Schizosaccharomyces pombe: one gene and its partner. The protein of the gene in region 1 interacts with the protein of each later gene in a pairwise test. Each region holds a gene or a part of one and is shown in the gene's direction. Other genes may lie near its edges. The genes, in order: SPOM_SPBC56F2.07C and mdm35.

Evidence for each region.
Region 2: the proteins of SPOM_SPBC56F2.07C (region 1) and mdm35 interact in a two-hybrid assay, tested with the Schizosaccharomyces pombe proteins (one large-scale study listed by BioGRID).

The regions. Positions count from the first base shown.
Region 1 is NC_003423.3:4,098,538-4,104,046, forward strand, and holds SPOM_SPBC56F2.07C (ribosome biogenesis factor recycling AAA family ATPase), read left to right. Parts: upstream 1-2,000; 5' UTR 2,001-2,043; coding exon 2,044-4,473; 3' UTR 4,474-4,687; downstream 4,688-5,509. Other genes in the region: puf1 (RNA-binding protein), read left to right, coding at 1-393; protein tam13, read right to left, coding at 4,935-5,222. UniProt on the Schizosaccharomyces pombe protein: ATP-dependent chaperone which uses the energy provided by ATP hydrolysis to generate mechanical force to disassemble protein complexes.
Region 2 is NC_003423.3:742,164-745,408, forward strand, and holds mdm35 (protein Mdm35), read left to right. Parts: upstream 1-1,905; coding exon 1,906-1,944; intron 1,945-2,006; coding exon 2,007-2,177; 3' UTR 2,178-2,474; downstream 2,475-3,245. Other genes in the region: U4/U6 x U5 tri-snRNP complex subunit Prp31, read right to left, coding at 1-1,356.

The DNA.
Region 1 (5,509 bases):
GCGTACCCTTCATACCCTTCGCACATACCCCTGGGCACTGCTTCTCTTCCCTTGAAGGGTAATTTATACCAAATTTCTCGTAGTGATGATATCAAGTCTGGAGCTCCCGTTTTAGATACCTCTTCGCTTGTAAATCCCACTTTGGCAAAGTCAGCGAGTTTGAATAACTCCTCTCTTCTCAACCCATCTTCGTCTTTACTTCGTCGTGAGGTTCCCGCCGGAAAATTAACTATGCCTGCATATCCCTACACTACCCAGTTAATGAATCATACCGCCGGAGCTGACTATGGCTTACCTCGTCTATCATCTAAACTTCCCCAGGTGTTCCCTGGTAATTACCCTCGTCTTCAGCAATCGTTGTTCCCTCGTCAAGGGGAATTGCGCTTCAATTAGTCCTTCGTTAAAAAATACTGACGTTAGACATAAGTGCCCTTCGCTTTATATGTCTTTGTATATATTCACATTTGTCGTCATGGTTGTTATTGTGTTTGTGAATTAATACGTATTCGCTTCATTTTTTAATGTCCTTTGTTATCGAATCATTCTTTGTTCGCTAATGTTGTTTATCGTTTTTCCTATTATACTTAAGTGTAATGTTTTTGGGAATATAGTACTACTTGTGCCATATTCCTTTCCATTCTTTGAAATTATTTCCTTAACGCAAACGCTCTTTGCCAATTAATTAATATTGAAAACTTTTTCGCCGCTTTGTGTTTTTCATTTGAATGGTTTGGATATCGTCTACAACTAAGTAGTGCATACCACCCATGCATTGCCAGTAATTGGTTATTTCATCTACCCTTTGATGGTTTTATATTTCTAATATGTATAAGCTGATTTCTTAATTCTGCCATACGTTTAACCATGAAGGAATTTATTTACTACTTATTTCATATCTTTCGGGCGCGAACGTGACCACGCAAATGCACGGAAGATTTTTGTTTTTATTTTTTATTCTGTTATTTTATAAACTTTATTGGGTTTTGTTTTCACTTATTGTTTTCTAATTCTAATATGTTTATGCATTCATCAAACATTAAGCATGAACGTTGTGGTCTAAACCATTCTCTTTTCAGAAGATGCCACAACTTCTATTATGGAAAATCTAAAAAAAAAGAATTATGATGATGTTTACGGGTTAGAAAAAGATTTCTTCATTTTTTTGGATTGGTGAATTTTGAGTAAAATCAACTATATCTTAGCTAATGATTGTCTTCGCCAATTTCAATCATGAAGTCAGAGTCTTTTTATTACCATGCCTTTATTTTCTTTTGGAGTCCTATTTTTGTTTGTATAATTATTACTGTACCGTTGATTGAATTTATATCCAGGGAGATTATTCGGGTTATGTTAAGTTTATTGGAACGTTCATTTAACGCACTCTTTAAGCTTCCGAATGCTTGAGTTTTTTAATTTGCCATAGAAAAAAGTTTTAATTTTAAAAAAAAAAAAGCTTTACAATAAAAATAATTATTTTGTTTCTCATATACGTACCTTTTCAACCTAACCTTAAATAACAATTCGATTCGACACAATATCAATAAACAAATGTTTTATGTGATAGCAATCCTTGTAATTAATGATTACTGACATAGAAATGCAGTATATGTTTATTCTGTTGGAACAAGTGAAGTGACCTAAGTTAGAATGGGATCTACTCCTATGTTTCCTTTTCTGGAGTTAGCTGTAGCAAAAAACACACGATATTCTAAATGCACAAATAGTTAACCAAATTCCTAAGACAAAAAAAAACGTTCTAGCATTATATAGTTTATTCACGAATTCAGTTTTAGTGATTTGGATATTTATTCGTTTTTTCATACGGTACTATAGTGTTTCAATATCGATTCTCAAATTAAAATAAAGAACTCGTAATAGAAACAATCATTGTTAACTAAATGTTAATTCCAAAAACTTTTTACATTTGATATTCAGTTATTTGTAATTAAGAACACATTTAGGACAGCCGAACGTAGTACAGTATTTATGAAACAGGGCTTGACAAAAACCAAAAATTAAATTTTGTTCCATACTAGGAATTTAATGTCTGTGGCTATTAAGTTCACTGTTAAAATAAACGATGGCTCTTTAAGAAGGCAGCAAACTCGACACGTATTCTTAAGTCCTGCTGCTTTGAATCGTCTTAAGCTTTCTCCGTCACAAGTAATTTATTTGAAACATAAAGGCGGTGAAGCTGTTGGAATAACCCAATCAGTTAAGGGAAATGGAATAGGTCCATTTGAAATATTAATTAGTCCTTTATTGGCGAAATGGGCAAACTTGAAGGCCTTCCAGCGAGTTAACATTTCACAATATGTACACCCTTTAAAAGAAGCTGAAGGAATCAAAATTGTTGCTTCATTGAGTAGCAATAATGAACCTATACCAGAGTCCTTAATAAGGAAAGAATTGCTAGAAATAAGGTATCTTCATCCAGGCATGATTGTTATGGGTGAATCACCGATGAATATGGCAAAGAGTGGTAGCAAAAATCTCAGCTCAGAGAATATGGCTACGGAAATTTTTGAAATAAATTCAGGTTTATCTGCGCAATCGGGTACTGAAGTAGGGTCCTCTCAATCTTCTCCCTCCGTGAATGAATCTGAACCAAAAGCAACAGAAGATCTCGATGAGCTTTCTCCCGGCTCTTATAAAGTTAAAGAAATTCACATTCGTTCTCCTTCAAACCTTATAGAAGCAATTTCTGATATGTCTTTAGATGAGCCTCGTATTTACAAATTTACGGCAGCTTCCAGTATGGAAATTGAAACACCTGATTTATTAAAATTACCTCATGAAGACAGAACTCAGTCTGCATACAACCAAGGAAGTGAAGAGACTCAAAACTTCGACGGTCCTCCTTCTGCAGTAACATTTTCGTCGATTGGTGGTTTACAAGCCCAAATCGCCCAAATTCGTGACATTGTAGAACTTCCGTTTCAAAATCCCGAACTTTTTAAGTTTTTTAATATTATGCCTCCTCGGGGTGTTCTGTTATATGGTCCTCCAGGTACTGGCAAAACGATGGTTATGCGGGCTGTTGCTGCAGAAGCAAATGCACAAGTGTTTACGATCGATGGTCCTTCTGTGGTCGGAAAGTACCTTGGAGAAACTGAGTCTAGGCTTCGAAAAATATTTGAAGACGCACGGGCGCATCAACCTTCAATCATTTTTATAGACGAAATTGACGCACTGGCTCCCAAACGAACGGAGGACGTAAGTGAAGCGGAGAGTAGAGCTGTTGCTACTTTGTTGACTCTATTAGATGGAATGGCTAATGCCGGAAAAGTTGTTGTTATTGCTGCTACAAACCGACCTAACTCTATTGATGAAGCACTTCGACGACCCGGACGTTTAGAGAAAGAAATCGAAATCGGTATTCCTGATAAAAGCGCCCGATTAGATATCATTAAACTGTTGTTATCAGGTGTTCCTAATGAAATTAATGATGCTCAATTGGAAGATCTAGCCTCACGAACGCACGCTTATGTTGGTGCAGACCTAGCAGCTGTTGTTCGTGAGGCTGCTTTAAGAGCTATAAAAAGGACAATTTCACTACAAAAGGACACTTCGGGATTAGACATTTTCGGTGCGGTGCAGATGGACGATTTGGAGTTTGCTTTATCGTCTGTCCGACAAAGTGCTATGAGAGAGTTTATGATGGAATCGCCCAATGTACATTGGTCAGATATTGGAGGACAAGAAGAGGTGAAACAGAAACTAAAAGAATCAGTAGAATGGCCTTTAACTCATGGCGAAACCTTCTCACGATTGGGTGTTCGACCTCCGAAAGGCGTACTTCTTTACGGGCCTCCTGGTTGTTCAAAAACAATCACGGCCAAAGCCATCGCAACAGAGACTGGATTGAATTTTATTGCTGTCAAAGGACCAGAACTATTTGATAAGTTCGTTGGTGAAAGTGAACGAGCCGTTAGGCAAGTTTTTCAAAAAGCAAGACAAGCCAGTCCATCAGTTATATTTTTTGATGAAATAGATGCTTTGACTGCGAATCGAGGAGAAGACAATAGTAGCGACCGGGTAGTTGCAGCTTTACTGAATGAATTAGATGGGATTGAAGCGCTTAGGAATGTACTTGTGCTTGCTGCTACAAACCGCCCTGATATGATTGATCCGGCACTTATGCGACCAGGTCGCTTGGATCGCTTGCTTTACGTTGGACCACCAAATTTTGAAGCAAGAAAGCAAATTGTGAAGATACAAGCTGAAAAAATGAAGTTTGCAGAGGATGTAGACTTGGATTTGATTGCGGAAAAAACGGAAGGATGCTCAGGAGCGGAAGTCGTGGCTCTTTGTCAGGAAGCTGGTCTGATAGCTATGCACGAGGATTTGGAAGCGAAAGAAATATGTCAAGCTCACTTTAAAACAGCATTATTGGCATTGCGGAAAGCCATAACCCGAGATATGCTTGAGTATTATGCATCGTTTTCAGAAAGTGTTACTAGCATTTCCTGAGAAAAAATATTATTGATATTAGGGGTTTCATTGTTTATTAATATAATACTTTTTTTCTGTGGTTTTAGTGTATTGTAGATGACATGTGTGGTTAATAAACTTCGAGTGTTTACAAAGCTAGAAATGTTACAAGTGATTGCAGAACGAAATTCACAATACATTATACATTATGCTCAATTTACTTCTACTGCACATTATCAGCATTACAAAAAATAGACCATTTCACTAAAAAAATATTGAGAGATGTAAAAAGTCATAAAACTCGTCAATTTATTTTTAAAGAGAAACATTGATATGTACTAACGTAACATGGAAGCGACAAATAGTCCACAGAAAGTGACATCGGCGATACAGTGCAGAAAAGTTAACGATATACATACGTTTTGCCTTTCTTTTGTTAGAAAAAAAGGAGAGGCACGGCCTCGTCTTAGTCGTCTCCCATGATTATCCGCTGCAGACATCTACTTCAAAAAACCCTTCAACTTGGTGATAATTTCATCTTGTGAGGAGGATGAGTTTTCAATTTCACCGAGAGTTTCCAAAACACGACCACCACTTGCACTGTTGATCTTGTTCAAAATAGCAAGTTTCTCGCTGGTGCTACCAGGAAACATATCGCTGATTTTCTTCATGGTCTGAGCCTGTTTCACTTGCTTTTCTGCACCCAAAGCAGAGCTCAAAAAGTCATTAGACTTTTCGCCTCCCTCCTTGTTGCTACCACCACTCAAGTTGTTCATAAAGTTCTGCATAACGGAAGTTGGAATTAAGGGCAGATAGATTCAAAGTTTAGTAAGTTATCAGTCTTGCAACGTTGTAGAAGATGATATCCTGAGCTAGACACCCATATATATATATATATGTGTATCTACAATACTCTTGTTACTCCCCAAACACCAATTCGTCAAAAGTAGCCGATGATTTCAGTATGAAGTGATTTATGGGTAACCCATCTCATACCAATTATTTGAAACCACTTATCTGAGAAAGCGATAAAATTCACTATTCAACATACTGCAACGAAGTAAACAATAAACTT
Region 2 (3,245 bases), 3.4 Mb from region 1:
TAGTTGGGCCTTCCGCGCTTTTGGTAACCGTAATTTAGTTCGAGAATCAATTGACACTGCACGAATTTTTCCTTCACCTTCTTGACCAAGCATACCAAGACCTTCCGTTTCGTCAAAATTAAAGACTTCCGCCTCCTCCTTACCAAAGGCGACGCGATTCTGTAATCTCCGCAATTCCGTTACGGCATATTGCTCTTTCATCTTGCGAATTCTTCTTCCTCCACGACGACGTTTTGGCCTATCGTCAGGAACGGGTAGCGCAACAGTTGGTTTCTGTGATGGAGGTTCCAAAAGCTTTTCAATTTTCCGTTCAACTTCCTTTCGAGCAGATATGCCAAATGAGCCATCAGGATATTCATGAATGGAATCGATTCTTGCTGCTAAAGCAACTTTAGCAGCAGTCATTCGGATAGCTTGCTTTCGTACATCAGGAGGGGTCTTTTGAACAATTTCCGACATATACAAAAATCCATAATCCCCACTAACAGCCGGATTGTTAATACCAATTGTTGTCAGCCTCCTTTTTCCGAGCGCTGGTAAATTGCAAGCAGGAAACTTTCCAAGTCTAGTCAATCCTCCTGCAATGCCGATTAAATTGGCAGCTGTGGTAGAACCCACGACTGCAGACAAATTAGGAGCTACGACACTAATTCTTGATTGGACATATTCAATAATTTTTTGCTTTTCTTCACCCAATTGCTGAATTGCCTCACAGCAATTTTTAACGTTTTTTATCATTTCATCTGGAAGAGGCTTTCCCACTGTTGTCGTTGCTGTTGTAGCAATAACCATCACTGTAGCAGAAGGAAGAAAGGAAAGTTTGGTTTTGCTGTTGTCTAAATCATTTAACAGAGAACTAACAGTTTTGCAATAGTCAAAGGCATTCAAGACCAAACTACTTAATTCAGGAAATCGGTCATGATACCATTCCTTCACGAGTCTGTGCAGCCGCAGGATTTCATCGTCAATTTCCATCGCAATTGAATTAGAATCCACGATAAGGTGATATTCGAGATCATCTTCGATGTTTCCAGTGATAGCTTGTTTTTCGGTGCCTTTATATTTCTCAGTTCCTTCTATGATATCGCGAAGACGTGTAGAATTCAACAGCTGATAAATGTTCTCATTATTGTCATTAAATTTATTAGCAACTTCACTAGGCAATTTTTGAGCAGAATCGCTAATTTTGGTAATATCCAAATCGTTTTCTAATTCAGCAGAAATGCCATTTCCTTCCTCTAATTGTAACTCTAACCGCCTTTTCTTCGCATCTGGCCCAAGTTCATCAGTAATTGTAGATTCTGTAGTTTCCTCAATATCATCAAGATCAGCTAATAATTCATCTGCCAGTGACATTATATTGGTTAAAATCCTTGCCTAATGAAAAACTTTTTGTCAAGCGTAGTTGCCAGAAAAAGAAAAAAAAATAACAAAGCTGGTTCTGGAAGTCTAAGATTTCACTAAAAAAAAGACTAATGAATAATTCAAAAATAGGACGTAATCAGCAAACGCCAGGATAGTAATGTACAAAATAGATGTATGTGGCTATTTAATAGAACTGCAACTTTTTATAGGCTTAATAGCACTAATCGTGCAAATTTGAAGATTAATGCAAATAAATAAGTAAAAATAAGATTCAAATTCGCTTTATTGACAAGTTCCAAGTGGAGTGTCAAACTTGAACTGGCATGGGGTATTTTGCTTAGTGCTCTACACATACTAGACAACCACGTTACTACGGTCATAGGGAATTGGGATCGAAAACTGCTTGATTCATTTCTTCAAGTTTGTTAAATTTTTTTCGTTCATTTTTTTTTTCCTTGACAAGGAAATTGGTTTAATTGATCTGGAGAAAATTCATTCATTCAACAGTTTGGAAAAGTATCAAGATTACTGAATCCAACTATGTCGTCCTCTGTTAGTGAAGAATGTACCCCTGCTAAGGTAGAGTTTTCTTTATATGATAAACACTGTGGACGAATTTTAGCTGACTAAATTATGAACAGAAGAAGTATGATGCCTGCTTTAACGATTGGTATGCGAATAAATTCTTAAAAGGTGATCTCCATAATAGAGACTGTGATGAGCTCTTTGCCGAGTACAAATCATGTCTTTTGAAGGCTTTGAAAACGAAAAAAATAGATCCTCTTCTTGAAGCAGCACGCAAAGAAGATTAAAGTAAGAGCATCTTTGGATATATGATTTTTAAGGTTGCTTTGAAAGATAGCAGTACCATGGAATAAAGCTCTTCTTTTAAAACGGGTGAAAAAGTGATAAGCATCTGTGCAATTGTAAGTTTATCAGAATTGTAGGTAACGAAATATCTCTGCCATGAAGCAAGTATACACTTCTAAAGGTGTTGTTTAAGAACATATGATTCGGCATATCCTTTTGCTGGCAAACCAATAATTCTCTAAAAGGGTAGTTGACTAAGATCATACTAAGTAAAATGATATGAACATCTTTTCATTGGACTCACCTTTGTAGAAAACTTGTAAGAATATACTTATAATCAAAGAATTGAATGGTATTCCTTCTTAATTAGTCTATTTTCACTTCGACATGCAAAAACATTATTTTGGCAAAAATTCGACACCAGCAGGATTTGAACCTGCGCGCGGAGACCGCAACAGATTTCTAGTCTGTCCCTTTAACCACTCAGGCATAGTGTCCAAGTCTGTCACTAAAAAATATATAACATATACATATTAACTACATCAGTCGCAGTTAAACAATAAAAATTTGAATGAATGAAAAAAAATACTGTAAATGTCAATTGATTTTTATCATTTTTAAATAAATAAAATTTGTAACTGTTAAGTCAAATTTCGAACCTCTACGTTTAGGAAAAGCTTTGCATGAATGTTCAGTATTTTCTTTATTAGTTTTGGAACTATTGTATTCAAAAGTACACTGAGTCCAGTAGTAATCAGTTCTGTTGAGAATTTCATACTATTGATTGTAATTGATATACGGTATTAAGAAGCTGAAAGTTGAAGTGCAGTCAATTTCCTTTGTAAAACATGTCTTTCATAGTTAGGTAGCAAATTGGTATATTAGAGTTTAATTGCAGATTATTAATCAAAAACAAATTTTTACCTAAAATATTATGCGTTACGCCAAATTTTGAGTCGTTAACCTAGCAATTGCACAAGGGCAAACAATAAAAACGAGTGGGTGATGGAATTAATAAGACCAGGTTTGTTTTTGCTAGCTTCTGCAGCGCAGTTTATTTATAGAAAATA